Linked DNA regions of Nothobranchius furzeri. The protein of the gene in region 2 interacts with the protein of the main gene of each other region in a pairwise test. Links are inferred from orthologs where the notes say so. Each region holds a gene or a part of one and is shown on either strand. Other genes may lie near its edges. The genes, in order: khk and lhx9.

What was found.
Region 1: the proteins of lhx9 (region 2) and khk interact in binary tests that used the Homo sapiens proteins (3 or more experiments, as listed by UniProt). The two-hybrid records come from large-scale screens. The link is inferred for Nothobranchius furzeri from reciprocal best matches to the Homo sapiens genes LHX9 and KHK.

Annotation. Positions count from the first base shown.
Region 1 is NC_091743.1:76,895,494-76,899,900, forward strand, and holds the start of khk (ketohexokinase), read left to right. Parts: upstream 1-1,454; 5' UTR 1,455-1,581; coding exon 1,582-1,676; intron 1,677-2,675; coding exon 2,676-2,792; intron 2,793-3,884; coding exon 3,885-4,019; intron 4,020-4,172; coding exon 4,173-4,307; intron 4,308-4,407. UniProt on the Homo sapiens protein: Catalyzes the phosphorylation of the ketose sugar fructose to fructose-1-phosphate.
Region 2 is NC_091748.1:66,527,289-66,531,887, reverse strand, and holds the start of lhx9 (LIM/homeobox protein Lhx9), read right to left. Parts: upstream 3,017-4,599; 5' UTR 2,913-3,016; intron 1,623-2,912; exon of another isoform or gene 1-1,622. UniProt on the Homo sapiens protein: Involved in gonadal development.

The DNA.
Region 1 (4,407 bases), on a different chromosome or scaffold from region 2:
GATGATCCACCCTGTAACCTAGCTTTGAAGAACCTGTGAGTCCCTCATGAAGGAGCACCATCAGCAAGCTTCAGAGGGTCTCTGCAGGCTGCACTCTGAGAAACTCTGACTCTTCTGTCTGGACCATCAGGAACCGGTGTGTGTCATCTGCAGAGACTAACACTCCGGCCACAGATTCAGACACATCGATGAAGCTGCTCAGGATCACAGAGAGAACCTCCAAACATCTCTGAAGCCCTTAAAGGAGAAACTGGAGCTCCAGAAGAAAGTTGAAGTTCAGCTTGATCAGACACCAGAACACCTGAAGGTCCAGGCCCGACTCACACAGAAGCAGATCAAGGAGCACTTTAAGAAGCTTCACCAGCAGATGAAGAGGAGGCCAGGCTGGCTGCACTGTGGGAGGAAGAGGAGCAGAAGAGTGGGATGATAAAGGAGAAGATGGAAGCTCTGAGCAGAGAGATGGCAGCTCTTTCAGACACCATCAGAACCTCAGAGGAGGAGCTGAGAGCTGAAGACGTCTTGTTCCTGATCAACTACAAGGCTGCAGTGGAAAGAGTCCAGCGCTGCCCCCTGCTGGTTTGTCCACAGCTGCCCTCAGGAGCTCTGATGGACCAGGTCAAACATCTGGGCACCCTGGCCTTCAACATCTGGAACAACATGAAGAATGTAGTATCCTACAGTCCCATCGTTGTGGACCGAAACACAGCTCATCAAAGACTCATCGTGTCTGAAGATCTGAGCAGAGGTGAACAGAAGCTCCTGATTATCCAGAAAGGTCTAATAAGTGGTGATCCTCTGTTCTGGATTCTCAAGGTTTTAACTCAGGGAACCTCAGTTGGGACGCCGATGTTGGACACCTTACACTGTAAAATGTGTGGAAAAAATGGGAGACATTGATTCTGGATTATGGGAAATGTGGTTCACAGTGGATAAATGCTACACATGGTCACCATTAACTCCTTATGTCAGCCTGAACACCAGACTGTAATATATATAACTTTTAACAGTCTATTCATCCTGTTGGGCTGTCCCCATCTTTGCCGGTTTTCGAGTCGCCTGAAAACCCACTTCTTCCACTTGGCGTTCCCTGAACGTGTAGAACCTCTTATTTTTTATTTCCTGTTTTTATTGGTCACTTTAACCCTTGTTTTGTCCATTTGTTTCTACTTCAATGTTTTACCCTCTTTGCACTATTTTAATTGCTTTTATTATCTACTTATTCATTGTGATTTACATTTCTTATGAACTGTGAAGCGCCTTGGGCTCCCTGACAGGGTCGCGGAAAGCGCTTTATAAATAAAGCTTTGAATTTGAATCCTTGAACAATACTGTACATAATATGAATTGATTTTTTATTTGCATGAATAATGTAAAATAAATGATAATATAAAACATAATAATGAACGTTGTTTTAGTTTGTTTTTATCAGACAGTAACCGCGAGCTTTTATTTTTTTAGTCTCCACTCACACTAGGTTCCGTATCTTATTGTTGTGCTAGTTTTACATGAGGGAACGTTTGTTTCAAAGTCCAAATTGTTGGTTCGCGACGCGCTGAGGATCCTGTCTGGGTTTGGGTCAACATGGAGGAGCAGCAGAAGATTCTGTGTGTGGGATTGGTGTGTCTCGACATCATTAATGTGGTTGATAAATATCCGGAGGAGGACACCGACAGCAGGTTAGCGTACAGGCTAATGCTAACAACCACAACAGGTTTAGCGTACAGGCTAATGCTAACCTCCACAACAGGTTTAGCATACAGGCTAATGCTAACACTGTCACTTCACTGACAGGAGGCTAGGCGAACACCTGATGATTTCATCCAGCTTCCCAAACTAAAAAAAATAAATAAATAAGGATTAGACTGTAAGGGTGTCTGTGGTGGGGCTGTAGTAATAAATGTGAATTTATTATTTCACTCTGTTTTATGACAGTGAGAACACAGCAACAACAATAATAATAATAATAACAATACATTTCATTTACAAAGCATCTAACATCTGTCAAGCAAATCTGTGGAGCTAAAAAAAATCACAATGAAGATTTGGTAGCTGAGCTGCTAAATCACTTATAAATAACTGATGAACAAATAACTAGTTCAGTGTAAATGTGAAGGGGTGAGTGGGGGCAAAGGTTGTCTCTGCAAATCAATAACTGCTCATAAACATGTTGCAACAACAGAACCTCACATCTGAATGGATGGATGAGTTACACACTGCAGGACCTAAACTAAATAATTGCAAATCAAACCTTTTGCCCAAGCCACCTGGAGATGTGGCCTGCCGGGGATCAAACCACTCACCTTCTGATCAGTGGAGGATCACGTTCTCCATTCAGCCACAGCTGCCCTGTTAAAACTTGATTTATAAAAAGACTGAGTAGAAAGTTCAGCTTTTATTTTGGTAGTCTAGAGTCAGGTCTTTGGGATGATCAGACTGTAAACACACCACAGGAACTGGACTTCAGACTGGAACGTCTGGGTCTGTTGACTTTAGGAAGTTTTTTGTGGTCAGATGTTCATCTAAAGTACTGTGTCTGACCCAATACTCAGATTACTGATTAGAACATTAAACATCCGGTTCTGCTCTGATCCATCTCTTATTTCTCACCTCTGATGCTGTTGGGTCCTGCAGGCATCAGTGGACGGCTGTGTGATGTCATCTGTGTGTGTCTGCAGGTGTTTGTCTCAGCGATGGCAGCGAGGAGGAAATGCATCCAACTCATGCACGGTGCTGTCGCTGCTCGGAGCTCCGTGTGCCTTCATGGGTTCTCTGGCTTCTGGTCCTGTGGCTGAGTGAGTTCCGATCTGTTCATCTGTGGTTGGGTAGCTGTTGTTCTGATTGATGCTTCTTCTGTTAAACTTGAAACTTATCACGTATGGTTTGGGGTGTTTAATGTTAGAGCTGCTTCTGTGTTCTGATTTAAGCATCTCTTGATCGTATCCATGGCAACAACCACATTTCTTTTGTTGTGTTTATCTGAGTCTGTTTGCACCTGTGATGTCATCAGCTGTTAGCTGCCATCCATGTGTTTGATCCAGAGCTTGGTTGAGCCAGTACCAGGTTGTGGATGAACACTCGGACTTCCCTCTCTCCAGTTTATCCTGGTGGATCCCAAAGCATTCCCAAATACACCACAGAGGATTTCTAAACCTATCAACTGATCAGCAGGTCGACTCAGAACTGCATCATCAGTCAGAAACATGTTTCAGATCCACCGAGTCTCATTCCTCTAAGAATCGACTCGGTAGATTCTTAAACTCTGGCTGATCGATTGTGGACCGAGCCAGTCTCTGCAACAGCTTATGCCCAGAGCACCAGATGGTTTATTCTGAGCTGTGTTCACGTTGGCAGGTTTCCACTGCACACCTGCACGCAGCGTTCAGAGAGCTTGACAGAATAAGAGCTCGCTCCGGGAATGTGAAACAATAATTTTAATGATCACATTTTGTGGCTCAATCCCGACTGAAATACACATCAGATCTTACATCTCCCAGATCTAAGAGCAGAGTCAGCTGCAGCAGCTAAAACCAGCCCTGAGCTGATGAAGCACAGCTGTCCAGCTAAGCGTGTCTGGTAAATCTTCTCCAGGATGTGGCTCATACACATAAAGACCAGAAGAAGTTGAATCAGGCGTAATCCAGGTGTAAACAGATGCTGTGATCCATCCTAATGCAAGAACAGAGGCAGAGCTGCTCTTACAGAATCTGAGCTCCTCTGGTTTGGATGGAAAGGTGTCTCCTCTGTCCCCTGAGCAGCATCTGGGATGTCCTCAGTCAGGAGGAACTATTTACTGCTCAGGTGAGGACAGAGGAGGTGCTAACTGCTACTTGTCTGGACTTTTACTTTGGAATTCAGAAGGAATGTAAACAGTTTCCTGTCTTTAGTTTTATTTTGGAGGATTTTCAGAAGTTCTCCATCGACGTGTCGCTGATGTCTGAGCACGCTCAGTGCATGTCTCCAGCCTCCATGGTCATCAGCAACATCAGAACAGGAAGTAGAACCATCCTGCACATGAACAGGTGTGTGTGTGTGTGTGTGTGTAAGAGAGACTAACTGCCTCTGTTTTTTATAGTGTCGTCAGCATCCTAGAGAAGCTCCACCCCTCTCTGTTTCCTTTTGGCTGAGGTTTTATTTTGAAAGGGACATTAACATTTCCTGTTTGTCTCTGTCAGTTTCATTGTGGCAGACTTCTTACGCCGTGAAATTGACGTCTCAGCAGTGGTTTGGCAGGTCAAAGGTCAAACGCCATGTGCGTGTTGTGTGGTTTGTCCACTCAGCGGATCTCGAACCGTCTATCTCTACGACACGTAAGATGATGGCTGTCGCGGCGCCGCGTTCATTAAATGCCTCTTCATCAGTCAGACGTGTTAGAGCAGAGCCTCCTGGTGACTCCGCCCTGCTGTTGGT
Region 2 (4,599 bases):
ATGGGTGGGACAGGAGGAGAGGTGGTGGTGCTGCACCAACTCCTTCCTGCTGCCCGGGATTGTCTCTCCTCCAGGGAGGGCAAAAAGAAAAGAAGAAAAAAAAAATCAAAAATCAAAAGTAAATAGTCCAAATGATGCGACAAAAACGGTGTGACTGTAGGATGGAGAGGGGTGAGGGGAGGGTGCGTCAGTGCGAGCGCTCTCCAAAAATAATGACACAAAGTTTTTGTGTTTCTTCTTTTTTTGTTGTTGTTCTCTCTCTCTTTCTCTCTTACTCACTCTCTCTTCTCTCTCTCTCTCCCTTGTTTCCCAGACAGGGAGAGGGGGGTTCCTCGGTGCTTGGAGGTCAGGTTGGGACTGCCTGGATTTCAGAACCGTGTCCTATTTGTGAAGAGAGCAGAGCCGGCCCAGTCTGAACAATTTGGTAGGAGGAGTTCCTCTCCCTCACTCCCCCCTCTCTCACCTCTCACTGACTGGCTGTCTCTCTACCTCCCTCTCCCACCATCACCGCTGATTTACTATTCACCAACAAAGAGCTGTCACTCTTAAATAAAAATACAATAATTTATGAAATAAACTCGATGCCGGCATGAGAAGGACCACTTCTGTATGAAACACGTTGCTTTTGTTCTCCATCTTTAAAGAAGCTGCAAATTTGCATACACTCAAATAATAATCTTTTACTTCTGATGTAATAGTTAGTTGTTTTTGTCGTGGGGCGTGATTAAACGATCTGAAAATCATCTGCAGCTGTGGCTTTTATTTAGAAAAATTCTGAATTCTCAGTTTAAGTTGGTCTGAATCAAAGTGTGTGTTGGGGGCGTGGCAGTGATCAGTGACAGGCTAGGAGGAGGGGACCGTTTACATTAAACAAGGATTTATTTTTAAACACAAACAAACTAGAATTTCATTTTAAAATTAATGTCACGTGTTTATTTCTTCTTTTTAAAACAAAATTACAGGAAAATAATATGTGTAAAATAATTGACCGAATAAACCTATTTGAATCTAAAAAAAACCCTATAATGTTTATTTGTAGAAATGTTTGAACAGGAATTAGTTTCTTCTTTCAGCTAATGAAGGAGTCAGTGCTTACCTACAAGAATCTCAATCTGACAAACGACATGTTGATTTCCTGTTTCTAGAACAGAAATTTTCAAGTAAAAACGGCATTTTTCAAATAGGATCTCCCAGCTAGTCTGCCCCAGAGGAATCATTATTATTAGAAACGTCTGACCTTATCTCACTAAACGCTACAGAGTGTACAGGACATGCAGAAGAAGCTGCAGTGAAGTTAAGTGTCACGTGTTAAAAACGTAAAAACGCCAAATAAAACTATGACAATGACAATAAAAGGAAGTGGTTTCAGACCGACCACTATTAGAGGCCAGATGTGGAGAAAACTGGCAAAAACGAGGCAGCTCCAAACGCAACACGAGCTTCAGCAGCGAAGATAGAAGAATTAATCATGTTTATGGTCAAAATTCATTTGGTTTGATTTTAGCAAGAAGCTTCGGGGGATCCAGGTGTGGAGGCTTCATCTGAAGAGCATTATCATGTGGGCCACCACCTCAACCCCTCCCCCCTCCACACACACACACACACACACACACACACACACACACACACACACACACACACACACACACACACACACACACACACACACACACACACACACACACACACACACACACACACACTGGGAAGTTGTGTTGGCTTTAATTGGAGGCCCCTTGACAGCAGCGCTATAAGTCGGAGCTTGAACCCTCCTGGACGGAGGGAGCTGCAGCTGTTCTCCCCCCCAAATAAATAAATAAATAAATAAAAAATAAAGCACGCCGGTAATTTGCTCCCTGTCGGTGTCTCAGCAGCAGCCACAAAGCGGCGAAAGTGGACTCAAAAAAAGGACAAAACGTTTTGCCTGGACAAAGACACCACAAGAAGATCGAGCGGAACATCCTCACGGATTATTTTGAGGCACCTGCGTCTTTTTCAGTGTTTGTTTTTATTTCCATTTATTGTCCTGCTTAATAAAAACGCGTTTGTGACCGTTCGCCTCCAACGCTGCGTTTGACTGAGGAGGCATTTTGGCACCAAGGGAACTATCACGCGCTCTTCATTTAGTTTTGTTTCTTTCTTTATGTAATTAACATATTATACCTGCCACTGCCGTGTGCTCGTGACCTCCTTTAAAACTGGTGTTGAATCACTACTTTTACTGCGTTGGTGGACTTTTATTCTAGGGACAACAAAAACCAGCGCATTTATGATCAAAAACAATAAAATGTGGAACGTTTAGTTTGAAGGAAAGTTAAATAATATCAAATCGATATTTTTAAACAGGAAAATGTTTTTATTTCTGGTGCAAAATAAAAATTGTTTTTGATTTAGCTAATTAAATTGTCTAAAATTCATGATTCATGTAAATAGAATATTTTTAGTAGATGTCGAAGTAAATCATGTGGTTAAAACGAGAAGCTAAGTTAGAAAATGCAAATAAAACTGCGTTAAACGATTGAATTAACGAAAAATCAATTATTTAGGTACATAAGTGATGCAGCTGAATAATGTTGCCACAAAAGCATCATTTTTATTCTCACGTGAAGCAGACGCATAAGTTAAAACGCCAGCAAAACACAGGGTAAAATACATGAAACATTTTTAAAGGTCCGACTCATTTGTTTTAAAAATTTCCATCCAATATTAATTTTAATCCATCGATTGCGCATCTTCAGACGGCCTCAACTTCCATCACTCCTGTTTGACCGGACATCAAAAGTGTCGCCAGCTTCTCCTCCCGCGCTCCTCTTCTCGTTTTTTCTTTTTTTTTTTTCAACTGCGCCAAAACCCCAAATCCTGCCGTGTGTTATTTTTGCCCCGAGTCTGAATAGTGATAGGAAAGGTCTTACCTGAGGCTGAGCAGCGCGTGAGATCCCTGTGCGGCGCGCAGGCGGAGGAGCTGCGGACTGCACGCACAGAGGAGAGGCTGCTGCCGGTAGATGGGGGGGGGGGGGGGGGGCTGTTCCTCGTGTCTGAGCGCACAGCTCCCGTTCGAGCGTCAATTAAAACACAAGACATTTAAATATTCCTCTCCCTCATGCAGGCAGCCCTCAACACAGCACAGCAAACAGGAAAACGGGGAAGTCACGAGCCAATGGCCTACTCGGAAGGGTTAGGAGCTGGGATGTGCTCAGAAAAATAAAAATAAATCAAAAAGGAGGATATGTCTTCACGCTGTTGTTTACTCTTAAATATAATCAAGATACTTTTAGGGATTATAAAGATGCACTCTTCTTATTTAACTGCAGGACTAATGCATAAATATGATCATTTTTGTACTTAAGCACCAAAAAACGGGCAAAATCGTATTTTATTTAATTAAAGACACAAAATCACCGATTTCATTTTCAAGAGAAACGAGGAAGACTGAGGTAAAAATGTCATTGAACTCAGTTTTTTAAAATTTTTTATAGGTGAACAGTCAAACTAGATCAATCAAACACAGCCACACACCCTGAAAACATAGACAAGCACCAAACTGAGAGGGTCTCCTGTAAGTGCGCTTTAATTCATGGATTTTTCGCACATGGAGCACGTGGTGCAAAAAAGAAAACAGTGGTTGATCTCCGAAAATTGTTCTGATGTAAAAAAAAAAAATCCACATACGAAGAAACGAATCAGAATAAAAAAATGTAAAAATAAATAGTCTTTTTCTAATGTGCTTCATTTGGATGCCATTCAGAACTGATGCTTCAAATACTAATTTAGTTTTGTAGAAAAAGGAATAAAAAAAACAAAAATCTTTTTCATTCAAGGTTTATTAAATATGACAAATCTTTGTTTTCAAAAGGAGCCTAATTAAATGAAAACCTGTTTCTGTATTTATTTTATTAGAGCTTCACGAAGGCTAAAACAGAAGAATGAATGAAACAGAATAAAGTGCAGGCTGCAACATTAATAAACAAATGAAAGAGCCTGTAGATGAGCAGATTTCAGCTGACAACAAGAGAAGAGAAAACGGTGTTTGTGAGCTCTTGAGCTGGGAGCAAAAGGGTGACAATTAACGACTCCTCTGTGCTGCCTTCATAAATGATCATGTGCCATAGTGCTAACAGTCATTTTGCTTTGCTCCTTCAGCCTGGGTTGACATCACAGTGTATCTCATCAATAATGCAGCAACGCTGAGATCCGTTTCACAGTGAACCACAACACCAGGCGTTCTCCACGCCTGATACCCGGAAAGGAATGCTGTGTTTGTGAGCTCCAGCATGGCGCCAGCCAGGACGACTGCCCGCCTGCCCTCCTGTCCTCCTGGATGCCTGCATGGCTCCTCGGGCTGGATTGCCCCACATCCAGGCTTCATCTGGAGTTCTCATTTCTGGGTCACCTCAAATGACACAGAGGGAACTCTCAGTCACTCCCAGAGCGTGGCCAGAACAGGAGTGGACGTGGAGGCGAGGAGCTGGAGAGAGGAAGGAGGAGGGCTCTCCCAGGATCCGCCGCGGTGCAGGGAACCACAGGCTAAACACTGACAGAATGAAAGGGGGGGGGGGAGAAGGAGGGAGGAGTGAAGCACTGTAAAGCCTTATAGTCACA